Rattus norvegicus: one gene and its partners. The protein of the gene in region 2 interacts with the protein of the main gene of each other region in a biochemical or structural test. Links are inferred from orthologs where the notes say so. Each region holds a gene or a part of one and is shown on either strand. Other genes may lie near its edges.

Region 1 (4,134 bases), on a different chromosome or scaffold from region 2:
ACTCTTGCAAGCAAGAGAGGCTCCAACGGAAGAATGCCTTCATACACTTTTTTTTTAAAGAGACAGGGTTTCAATGTGTAGGCCTGGCTATCCTGGAACTATACAGATCAAGCTGGCCTGGAGCTCAGAGGTCCACTTGTCTCTGCCTCCCTAGGGATGGGATTAAAGGTGTGAGCCACCACTGCCCAGCTTTAAAAAATACTTTTCAGAAAATATTGTTATATTACCATTGTGCGTATGTGTGCCATGATCCAGAGGTCTGAGGATGTAGTTCTTTTTCCAGTGTAGAATGTGGAGACTGAACTCAGGTCATCAGGCTTGTGCAAAAGGCCCAAGCATTCATTTCTACCCATAGAGCACGTTACTAGCTATCTACTTTTCGATTAAGCAAGTCTTAATTCCTTTTCCTTGCGTGAATGCATATGAATGGTGTGCACAAATGAGCAGACAGATGTGCAATGAATGCCTCTGCAGAGGCCAGAGGACATTGGGCCACCGGGTCTAGCACTATTGATTTTATTCCCTTGAGACAGAGTCTCTCTCTGAACCTGGAGCCAGCAAGCCCCAAGGATCTTCCTGTCTCTGACCCTACAGTTTTGTAATCACTCCTGGCTTTGTACATGGACATGGATCTGAGGTCTAGTGCTCATGCTGGCCCCACCATCTTTCCACCCCTTATATCCTATTCCTGCACAGTCCTTCCACAAAATCTCACATACCTGTGAAATCTCGACATCCCCAATTTTGAACACCTCATCAGTCAGAGTAGCAGAGAGCAGCTGAGATATGGTACAGGGCACAATGTGCTGGGCTCGGGCTCTCTGCAAAGAGAAAGGACGCATCACGTCAACCTGAGAGAGTAACAACCATTCACCGAGGGTCTCCATGTGCCAAGCACTCTGTATATACCACAATCCAGAAACTTCAAACCAAGTTCTCCTTGCTTCAAAGAGACAGAAAACAAGGCCAGAAAGTTAACATTTGACTCCTCTGCCTCTCCCCTTAAGTGCTAGGGTTCACAGTGTTTGCTACACATGGCAAATGCCACACTTTTGAATTCACATCTACACTGATCTGATACTAGACCTCCAGGTGGAGAGATGTTTGTATCATATTGTGGGTTCACAAAGAAAAGGTCAGACTAGAGTCAGGACAACACAGGAAAGCCTGCCTTTAGAACAAACCTTCAAGAGCACATCCCAGGGCTAGACAGTGGTGGCCCATGGCTTTAATCTCAGCACCCAGGAGGCAGAGGCAGGTGGACCAAGGCCAGCTTGGTCGACAGAGTAAGTTCCAGGACAACCAGGGATAGACACACACGCACACACGCACCCCCCTCTGTCTTAGAGAAGTGAGGATAGCAAGAGCAAATCCCAGATACAGCAAGAGCAAAGTGTTCAGGACACCACAGAGGCAACAGGCAACCTGTGTAGTCCTTGACGTAATCCCTACAGTCAGGAGAGACAGGTAGTAGGGTCACCACAAATTAATGGTCTACACACAGCAGGTTCCAGGCAACACACAAATGGGTAGTAAAAACTTGTCTCAAAAACAAAACGAATGAAACGGCACAAAAGATAAGCCTTTAACTCAACACTATCTCTGCTTAAGCAGAGTACTAATGTAAACAAAAGACCACATCCTGATACATTATGGAAAGAAGCCCCTTATTTGGGATCTCAGAATGTTTACTGGTAATTTCAAACACCAGAACGTTTCCCAACTATCAGGGAAACTGAGGCAGAAAGGCAGGAGAATCACCTCAGCCCTATCAGCCTAGGCAACAGAGGTACATCCGATTCAAAAAAAAAAAAAAAAAAAAAAAAAAAAAAAAAAAAAAAAAAAAGGTAAAGAACAGTTAACCACAAGTTAAGGGCAATTACTCAGTAAGCCTTAGAGACTGCTTGCTCCCTACCCCTAACACTATGATGAGCCTGGTGGCCATACATCTTTAGTCCCAGCCCCAGAGGTAGAGAGGCAGGTGGATATCTGAGTTCCAGGCCAGCCAGAGCTACACTGTAAGCCTGTCTCAAACAAACATCCCCCAAACACTTGGTCATACAATGACTACGTTCTTCCTGTCAAATTCCAACAGGAATGAACCCCAAACCTGTTCTGAACACAGTGGACTCTTGTTCTTTAGGCTTTTTAGTAGTCCCAGCTGTGGATGGGCACCGCGACATTTAACTCTGCAAAAGCATACTTTCTGAGCGGTAGGGCAGGAAAGTGGAGGCCGGGCCAACCACAGCACGCTTGCCAAACACTTAGAGAAAACGGTTACCCAGTTGACCAGACAAGAGAAAAAGTAGGCAACCCACAGCTTCCGAACCAATTGGGGTGCCATCCTCCCCCGCAAAACCACGTTCCCTCCTGGACCAGTGAGGACCTTCGGGACAGGAGGACACAAATGAGAACAGAGCGGGTCACTCTACGTACTGATTTCTTCTCTGCCTGCGACGGTGTGGGTGACCCGAAGCCACCGGGGGACTGCGTGTAGCCGCCCGCTGCGCCATAGGAGGAGCTGCTGAAGCTTTCGAATCCGCCTGGTAGTGAACGACAGAGTCAGAATCTGCACGGCGCTCCCCAACTCTGTACCTGGCAAACGCTGTCCCCACCGCCCCAGCCACCACAACCCCCCTCCCAGCCCTCAAATGCCACCGCCCCGGCCTCCGGCCTCTCGCTCCCGCCCTGCCCTCCCACGCGCGACTCTCTGCCTTCTCTCCCGTATGCCCGCCATTACTATTCCACATCCTGGTCGCAGTTTTCCTGAGAAAGAGGCCAAGAAGTTTGGACTCGGAAAATAAGAAGACTTAAGAAGTGTTTGCCGCTCCGGCGTGGCGGCGTTGTAGCTACTTTGCACTGGCGCCACAAATTCCTTCCCGCGAAGAGCCAGCTAATCAGCGCCTGGGACACATCTACCTTTAGCCAATCAGAACTCACGAATCTCACTTTTTCCGGTATCAAGGCCAAGCTTAAGAAAAACACACGGCCCCAAGAAGAAATGGAAGCCCGCGCGGCCATCTTTACTGAGGGCGAATTCCTGACAGGACAGTATTCAAGAAAACAACCAATCAAAACAATACTTCCTGGGCCAACCAAAAGTTCTCCTCACCCCCCCATCCCCGGCGAGTGCGCAACTCCTTACGTCACTTCCGCCGCTCGCTAGCTAACCCCTCGCCCCCCATTCCCGCCAAACTGCGAGTTTGCCTTCAAAGCTGAATCTCAGGAGCTGTGGTAGAAGTCACACTTTCGACGTTGGTGCTCGGTTGTGGCATGCCATTTGCAAACTTAAGAGACTCAGTACTGGGGGCTGGAGAGATGGCTCAGCGGTTAAGAGCACTGACTGCTCTTCCAGAGGTCCTGAGTTCAATTCCCAGCAACCACATGGTGGCTCACAACCATCTGTAAGGAGATCTGATGCCCTCTTCTGGTGTGTCTGAGGACAGCGACAGTGAACTGTACATTAAATAAAGAGAGAGAGAGAGAGAGAGAGAGAGAGAGAGAGAGAGAGAGACTGACTCTGACTCAGTACTAGTCTCACAGGTCATCGTGGGATTACTTATTTTCTATAAGAAATTAAAATCTCCAAGTATAACGACTTACTCTCAGAACTCTGGCAGAAGCAGGAGGATCTCCATGAGTTCGAGGCCTCCTGGTCTGCATAGCAAATTCCAGGCTAGCCGGTGCTACATGATGAAACCCTGTCTTAAAAAATGAAATAGGGGCTGGAGAGATGGCTCAGCGGTTAAGAGCGCCCGACTACTCTTCCCGAGGACCTGAGTTCTATTCCCAGCAACCACATGGTGGCTCACAACCATCTGTAAAGAGATCCGATGCCCTATTCTGGTGTATCTGAAGACAGCTACAGTGTACTTATATATAATAAATGAATAAATCTTTTAAAAAATGAAATAAAAGAAATGAAATTTTTCCTGTAGAGTCACAGATCGTTTCCAAGATTGTTGCTCCTATAAGAAACCTCATGGAGGCCAGCAAGATGGCTCAGCAAGCCAGGTTACCTGAGGTTGACCCCAGAGACCTGCAGAGTATAAGGAGAGACTCAACTGTTAATCCCACTGAAGGAGTGTAAAGAGCGTTAGCTCTTTTTTTTTCTCTTGGTGAAATTAAACAAGC
Region 2 (3,646 bases):
AGGGAGGGAGAGAATGAGAGAAGGAGAGAGGGAGAGAGGGAGAGAGGGACATATACGCAGAGAGTGAAGAGGAGGAAAAAAGAAAAAGACCAAAATGTCCGGATTACATAGGGAAGACCCTCTGGGGAAGGGCAGCCCAGCCCCTAGACTGGAAAGTTCAGGATTGGGGGCAAGGTATACCAGGCAGGGACTGAGGGATGCTGGGAGAACAAGGAGGCCACGTCTGCTTTGATGTGTAAAATATGCACCTCAGTCCCCTGTTCTGGGGTCTAAAACCAAACAATAACCAAACAACATGTATAGGATTTATGATGTCAGTGGCGAGTGTTTAAAATATTCATGTTTGGGGGTAGAGAGATGGCTCAGTGGTTAGGCGCACTGGCTGCTCTTAACCAGGGTTCAATTCCTAGCACCTACATGGCAGCTCACAACTATCTGTAACTTCAGTCCCAAGGGATCACAGACGTATACGTAGGCAAAAACAGCACTGCATATAAAAATAAATAAACCTTAAAAAAAATTCATGTTTGTTTAACTTGTTACAGCTAATTGCTACACCATGTATGCCTCAGAGAAACCAAGCTTACAAAGCAGAGCTATGATGGTAAGAGAGTGAAGGCCATGAAACTAGAAAGGACAAAGGTTAACTCTTCCAGGACACGTGTACAAAAGAGAATACTATCATGCTTTTCCAGAGGGCGCAGACTGAAGAACTGACGTAGGTCCTCAAGAAAATCTTTCTTGAGAGCAAAGAACGACAAAGAAACGCTTGAACTCAGCCACCAAGTCTTATCCCTTCACTGACGCAAATTCTTATTTAAATCTACTCACATTTTGAGGATAGCAGCCACAGCATCAAATATAAAAACAATCTGTCTTTTTTATAATACCTGGCATGTCGGAGACTGTCATAAAATGTGGAGAATTCTCTGTTTCTTAGGCACTGCAGAGCATTATACAACGATTCGTGGTAACTGGTTCCTTCTAGTTCTTGGCTGCGAGATGATTAAAAAACAAATTTAAAAATGGAAAACTCTGAGATATGCATCTATAACTAACTCAAAGAACAATGTTGAGAACTAAAATTAAGATTTCTCATAAAAGTTTGCAGAGATTAAGAAAAATATGTAGCTGGTGCAGCGGCATATGCCTTTAATTGGTAGGCAGAGAGAGGTGGATCTTAGTGAGCTCAAGGCCAGCCACAGTCACATGGTAAAATCCTAACTCAAAATATAAACAAAGGGGGTTGGGGATTTAGCTCAGTGGTAGAGCGCTTGCCTAGGAAGCGCAAGGCCCTGGGTTCGGTCCTCAGCTCCGCAAAAAAGAACCAAAAAAAAAAAATATATATATAAACAAAGAGAAAAAAAACAAACAAGCCAAAGCAGTAAAAGGCAGTGAGAAGAGGAAAGCATTTTACAGGTCATTTAAATTCTTTAAAAAAAAAACCAAAAACTTAGAAATTCTAGTTGGTTCTCAATTTTACATTTAAAATAAATATTTAAAATGAGAGCAGTTGAGTGGTGGTGGCGCGAGCCTTTGGTGCCAGCACTCAGGAGGCAGAAGTAGGATCTTCTGGTCTACAGAGCGAATTCCGGGACAGCCAGGGTTACACAGAGAAACTGTCTCAAAACAAACACAGAAAATTCACCTACATATGAATAAATCCGCTTTTTATACCACTCCTAACATGAAATTTGATAAACACTCCAATTTATGAAAACATTTTTCCATTAAAGTAATTAAAATGACTTAATTTTTTAGCATTCTATCAGACTTTTTTATGTAACTATTAAATCCTTTAGTAGTCTAGGTGTTTTGGTTTTCATTTAAAAAATACAATGATTTGAAATACAGGCTACAACTTTTATCTTCTTGGGTAACTTGGTTTGGCAGTACTTTATAAACTGCCTGGTTATCTGTTTGTGGTAGCCCTGGCTGGCTTAGTACTCACTATGTAGTCATGGCTGGCATCGAACCAGAGATCCACCTGCCTGTGACTCCCAGTGCACCACTGCTCCTGGCCTAGCACTACTTTTTAACAGCAGCAACGACAACCACCACCACAAAACATTAACAAAGGTAACTGATTTTATCACCCAGCCAATAGAAATGCTTTTGACTACAATGTAGCAAGAAGTGGTAGGGAGAAGGCCTACACTTGTCTTTAGATTCCTCAATTCAACAATCAATATTTTCACAGGAAAAGGCATTTTTAAAAATTTCTATCTACAAAACACTTGAAGCAGGGGATAGAATTTCTCTGGTGGAAAAAAATAAGAATGAAATTCAACCTTCATTGTGCTAGCTGCCTATTGTATACTAAATATTTAGTCATATGTGCGGCCCATAGTGTCTGTACAATATATTAAAAAACAAAAGCCAGCAGCACTCATAGAGAAAACAACCAAATGCACAGTTTCAGGGTCAGATAGAAGCAGTGGGGAGAGGCTGGTTTGCTCTCACTTGGCAGAAGTGCAGAGGTCCCACTGCATGTTCCTCCACGCCGCCTGGTAATGAAGCTCCTGCAGTTCCCCACACCACTCTCTCCTTTCATGGTCCAATCCTTTCAAGTAGATAGAAAGAATATGGGAGAGCCCCAAGTTCTGCAAGGCCTGAAAGGAAGTTATCACAAAATGAATACATGATCAAATACGTCAGGATAGAGTAGACCAGTGGTCTCAGCCTTTCCTAATCCTGAGACCCTTTAGTACAATTCTTAATGCTATGGTGACCCCGAACCATAAAGTCATTTTCACTGCTACTTCATAACTGCAATTTTGCTGCTGTTATGAATCGTAATTTAAATATCTTGCATGTGACTTCTGTGAAAAGGTCAGCCAGCCCACAAAGGGGGTCGCGACCACAGGTTGAGAACCATTGAACTAGCGAGAAACCCAGCCCCCACCCCCAAATTTTAATTTCAAAAATTTTAATTAACAGTATCACTTAAAACTCTAAAATATTGCTTAGCGTGTATATTTCTCCTCAGAGAATGTTAATGTTTGGTGGAAAGATACCTAAGCCTATTATAGTAAAAGATAGGACAGTTTCCTGGACCAACTCTAAAGCAAACTAGTGCCATGTGAAGCACTACGAGTGTCTCCTGGCAGGCATACTGTACACACTCCAGAAGTGTCTTCTGCTGTTGGGTAATAAAAGTATTATCAACAAACTACAGTGACCTGTGCAGCTTTCCAATGTGTACTGAGGTGCTGGCCTAATGTCTGACAGCCTAACTCCACTGACGACAGCTTTACGGAAGCAGGCACGGATGGCAGTGTACCTGGATGATTCCCGACTGGCGGGTGGAGGAGGAGATGGTGGTCTCAAGGTCGTATGTCACTAAGGCTTTCTCCCACGTTGCTTCATGCTCGTACGTCCTTATTCTGTAAGAGATGACGGTGAAAACATCTTTTGTTTCTGTGCGCATGGAGCTCCTTCGAAAGGCAGAATCACTATCTGAAAGGTGCAACTTACCGGGTAAGGGGTTGTAACACTTTCCCTCCCCCGCAGCCATACAGGCTGTCTGGCTCTCCTATACTTCTGTAGATCTCCAAGAGAAGATCCTGAAAAGAAAAATACCAAAGGCGGACACTTGAAAATAAAAATCAGTTCATGAGTTTTGTAAGCTTTAAATTTTATCATT
Region 3 (4,035 bases), on a different chromosome or scaffold from region 2:
CTGCCACACCAGTCTCAGTCTAGCAGTCAAGACTCAGAAAAATGGCTCTTTCTTTACCAACTGGTAAAGTCACGTTCATACACAGAAGTACCTGCTGTGCCCATAAAGGAGCCCGTGACATCCCACCCTTCCTCATCCCGGCTCCCCAAGACCATCTGATGTTTGTAACACTGGGTGTCTGCCTCCTCTCATTCCCAGCTACACCACGTCCTCCAAGCTCCACCCCCCCAACCCCCCACCCCCAACTCATCTGACATGGACCACTGATAACCAGTCCTATACAATCTACCTCATGCTACCTTTTTTAATGGGTACATGATACACCCCAGTAAAATCCTTACTCCTCTGCACCCACCATGGCAGCACACAGAGAGATGACGACAAAGACCGCATGCGCGCACGTGGACCAAAGGCTCTACACTGGCGCAGGCTCAGGGAAAAGGTGACCACCTCGCTGGACAAAGGTAATACTTGCAACTAAAAAAAGTAACAGAGCAGCAGACCTCAGCCGTAAAAATGACAGTAAGGCGTGCTCTGCTGACCCAGAGGGCTGGTATAACAATTGCATAAGACAATGTAAAGGAAAAATACACCATAACACTGAACACAGAGTAAACGGTGTCATCATATCAACTTGGAAACAGTTCAGACAGGGCCCGGCTGTGGGCCTAGGGTAAATGTGGCTTTTATTTCCTCTCAGGGAAAGAAGTAAAGGGTGGCTTTCCCAGGTACCCCAACCTAAGGTAAGGTGGGTGTGCTCCAGAGGTTGGGGCTAGAATTGCCAGATCATTCCGACAGACTCCTCTGTGTCCACTCGCTGGCGCTTGATGCAGGGAGGGTGTAGGTGAGAGTCATTACCCTGGAGTAGCAGCTCAGTATCAACAGAGGCACAAGGAGGTATGTGCTGGTATTCACAAAATGGAAGGCAGAGCAGGTGCCCTGAGTGAGGAGCAGGACTGGGTGGCCGATCCACACCCAGTGTCTGCCGGGTACAAGGCCTGACTGCTGTGGCTCTCCTCCCAAGGGCCCCAGGGGCCCAGAAGCATCACTGCGTCCTATGGCTGGTCCCTTAAATGTCCATCTCAAACTGTGACTCTTCACCTGCAGAGAGAGGAGACAGACAGCCAATAAACAAGTAGCAAACGGAAGCACTCCAGGCTTAGAGGCCAGAGAGAAGACGTCGTCTTTGTTAGTCTCATAGGTCAGGTGGAAGCGAGAGCTGCTGCCAAAGAGAAACAAGAGAAGTTGACTAGGCTAGGAGAGGAGCTTCCTCATAAGCGCGGCGGTGACAGTGCTGAATTTTCTATAAATCCGATTTTTAGTACGTGGCCTAAGGGGTGGAGCTTTGTGTCCTGTGTCCAGTTAAGGAAATTTAAAAGTACACCTACATCACCACCACTACCACCACCTAACTCTATAGAGGGCAACCAAGCCATTGTTCAGGGTTGAGAGGTAATATACCATCAGAAACTAGGAGTGGCAGGTGCAAGAGTAAATGGCAGTCTTCAGTTAACGGTGACAATTTCAGGTGTCGCCTAACTTCATCCTCTGTCATCTTTGGCTTGGGGTGAGAAGGTAAAGGTGAGAGGTTCTGTGCAATGACTGGGGAAATCACTCCACCCTTGAACATGTGGCAGGGACCCACACGTGTAGCCTGGTAACCACTTGTCATGCTGCTCTCCGCAGGCAGTCAAATCCACCTTCCTACTGCTATCTACTTCCCTCCACCCCCACCCCGCCCCAGTCCATCTCAGTCTAAATGTTGTCTGTCTTGGGCTGCTGGGCTGCCAGGGTAAATAGGAATCCTATCCTACAGAGCCATGGGGTGTCAGCAACTCCCTGTCTGAGCCTGCTGCTCTGCCTTTAGGGTAGGGAGTCAGAAGTGGTCCCGTGACTGCAGGGATGTGGACAAGCTTGCGAAACACGGTCCCACACCAGAGAGTTCACACTGACTGCCAGGGTGGCCGCTTTGATTGTTTTCGGGAGGAGGGGGGCACCAGGAAGGACCTAGATATAAATGTCAGCGCTTCTGTGACAATAGGAGGCATTGTCTGCCTGTCCTCATCAATAATCCACTTAATGACCAGTAACCCTGCCAGGAGGTACCTGGATTTACTTTTTATCTTGTAGACGTGTAATTTCCTAGAGGGGAAGTACGCCGTGTCTTTGATAAGCTGTCTCCTTGCATCAAGAGTATCACTGCTGTGTTCCACTAATATAGAGAGGCGGGATGATGAAAGGCGCTGGGTAAAGCCTACGTCACTTAAATCAGCTCCTTAATGACCTGACGCATAAGATCCTTGAGGGCTTTGGAGCTTTGTAGGGGGCAAGCTGGCACCAATAAGAGTTCCAGTTCCCATTCATCCCCCACCCTCTGGTCTCATCACAGCTGCCCCTCAAAGGGTGGATGGTCACCATCACCCTCACCCCGAAACGTGGAATTCCTAAGAACAGACAATCCCCCTCCCAGTTCAGGGCCTGGACAGGACTCACCACCTGCCCGCTTATCTTCCGGGCTGCTGTGCAGATGGCTCTGGCTGGCCTGCATGGGAGGCTCATCGCTGGTAGGGCTAGTGACCCCTGGAATGGTTGGCAGGTCCTTTGGGGGTGTTTTGGCCACAGGCGAGTTCCGACACTCCATCAGGAATTTCCGGTCATAGATGATTCTGGTTCCTGGTGAGAAAGGTGTGATAAGGGAGTTGGTAAGGACTCCTGGAACCCCTTTGCCTGTTGCTTTTCCCGCTTCCTGTGAAGAAGCAGTCACAGCAGAGGCGGCAGTTTCCTTCATACAATCTGGACCAAAAGGGGAGTCAGGCTGACCAAGGGTCCTGCCAACCTGACCACATCTCTGCTCCACTGCCTACCCTCCAACACCATTTGGGGAGCCTCTCCCCAGTAGAGTGCTTGCTGGCCACCAAGATGCATCTTTGTTTTCTCAGAGAACACCCTATGCTATATAGTCTCTCGACCTCCCACCCCTCAATCCTCCCTGTCAGTTACACATGACAAGCACAGCACACAGAAAAGGTGGTCACCCCTGTCAAGGCACCATTCCATCCCACAGGACTCCAGCAGGTCGATCATTTACAACAGAAAGACAATGGGTCCCTCCCTGCAGAGACTTTTCCCTGCCAGGTCTTTGCAGAAAGAGGAAACGCTCTATCCAATCCAGAAAGGACTTAGGCTGAGCCTTTCTCCAAACCTCAGTACATCGACCTGCCTGCATCACTCTTGAAGGGCAGGCAGGGACGCCAGTCCCATTCTACCCGACCTCCTATCACAAGTTAGTCTCATTCCCCGGGGTAGGGGTCAGTCTCAGTGCGCTGTTCTCTAGCGGTAAACCACACTCAGGATCCTCCGCCCAGGCAGCCGCCTGAACACCACCATATAAAGGAACGTTTCCCAAGGTGAGGGAGCACGATCACTGTGGGAGACCCGTGAGGTGTCGGTGAGTGGATGAACTTATCCACAGTCTCCCGGGGCCTCTAACACAGCAGCACTGGTGGTCTATTTTTAACCCTTCGACTTCCTGATCACTTTCTTCCCAGCACATCTCCAGCAGACAATGGTATCCAGCTGGAATTTAAAAACTGTCTTTGCCTTACTATTTATAGTTAGTTTACCCTCGGCCGATGACAAGTCTGCTTCCTCGTACGCAATGGCGGTAGCCAGCTTCCTTCTGGGACTACACACCATTAGTTACATATTATATAATGTTATATACCAGGCGTAAAGAAAATAAATTAAGGGCTGGCTAGGTGGCTCAGCTGGCAAAGGCACCTACCTGTCACCAAACCTGGTGTCCTGAGCCCAAAACCAGAAACCTGCACGCAGAAGAGAATCAATTCTCACAAGATGTCTTCTGACCTCCATATGCATGGTGTGGTGGTACGCAGGCACCCACGCCTATACCCATTCTTATTCATATTCTCTTCCTCTCTCTCTTCCTCTCTCTCTTCCTCTCTTCCTCTCTCTCTCTCTCTCTCTCACACACACACACACACACACACACACACACACACCTCCTTTCGTTCC

Evidence for each region.
Region 1: of the proteins of Atm (region 2) and Rpa2, one has a biochemical effect on the other in vitro, tested with the Homo sapiens proteins (3 studies listed by BioGRID). The link is inferred for Rattus norvegicus from reciprocal best matches to the Homo sapiens genes ATM and RPA2.
Region 3: of the proteins of Atm (region 2) and Eif4ebp1, one has a biochemical effect on the other in vitro, tested with the Homo sapiens proteins (2 studies listed by BioGRID, with this or other methods). The link is inferred for Rattus norvegicus from reciprocal best matches to the Homo sapiens genes ATM and EIF4EBP1.

Annotation. Positions count from the first base shown.
Region 1 is NC_086023.1:150,259,473-150,263,606, reverse strand, and holds the start of Rpa2 (replication protein A 32 kDa subunit), read right to left. Parts: upstream 2,836-4,134; 5' UTR 2,751-2,835; coding exon 2,741-2,750; intron 2,544-2,740; coding exon 2,437-2,543; intron 2,345-2,436; coding exon of another isoform or gene 2,111-2,344; intron 822-2,110; coding exon 720-821; intron 1-719. UniProt on the Homo sapiens protein: As part of the heterotrimeric replication protein A complex (RPA/RP-A), binds and stabilizes single-stranded DNA intermediates that form during DNA replication or upon DNA stress.
Region 2 is NC_086026.1:62,752,042-62,755,687, forward strand, and holds part of Atm (serine-protein kinase ATM), read right to left. Parts: intron 3,567-3,646; coding exon 3,478-3,566; intron 3,387-3,477; coding exon 3,284-3,386; intron 2,613-3,283; coding exon 2,464-2,612; intron 996-2,463; coding exon 891-995; intron 1-890.
Region 3 is NC_086034.1:71,494,828-71,498,862, forward strand, and holds the end of Eif4ebp1 (eukaryotic translation initiation factor 4E-binding protein 1), read right to left. Parts: intron 2,674-4,035; coding exon 2,494-2,673; intron 1,102-2,493; coding exon 1,070-1,101; 3' UTR 630-1,069; downstream 1-629. UniProt on the Homo sapiens protein: Repressor of translation initiation that regulates EIF4E activity by preventing its assembly into the eIF4F complex: hypophosphorylated form competes with EIF4G1/EIF4G3 and strongly binds to EIF4E, leading to repress translation.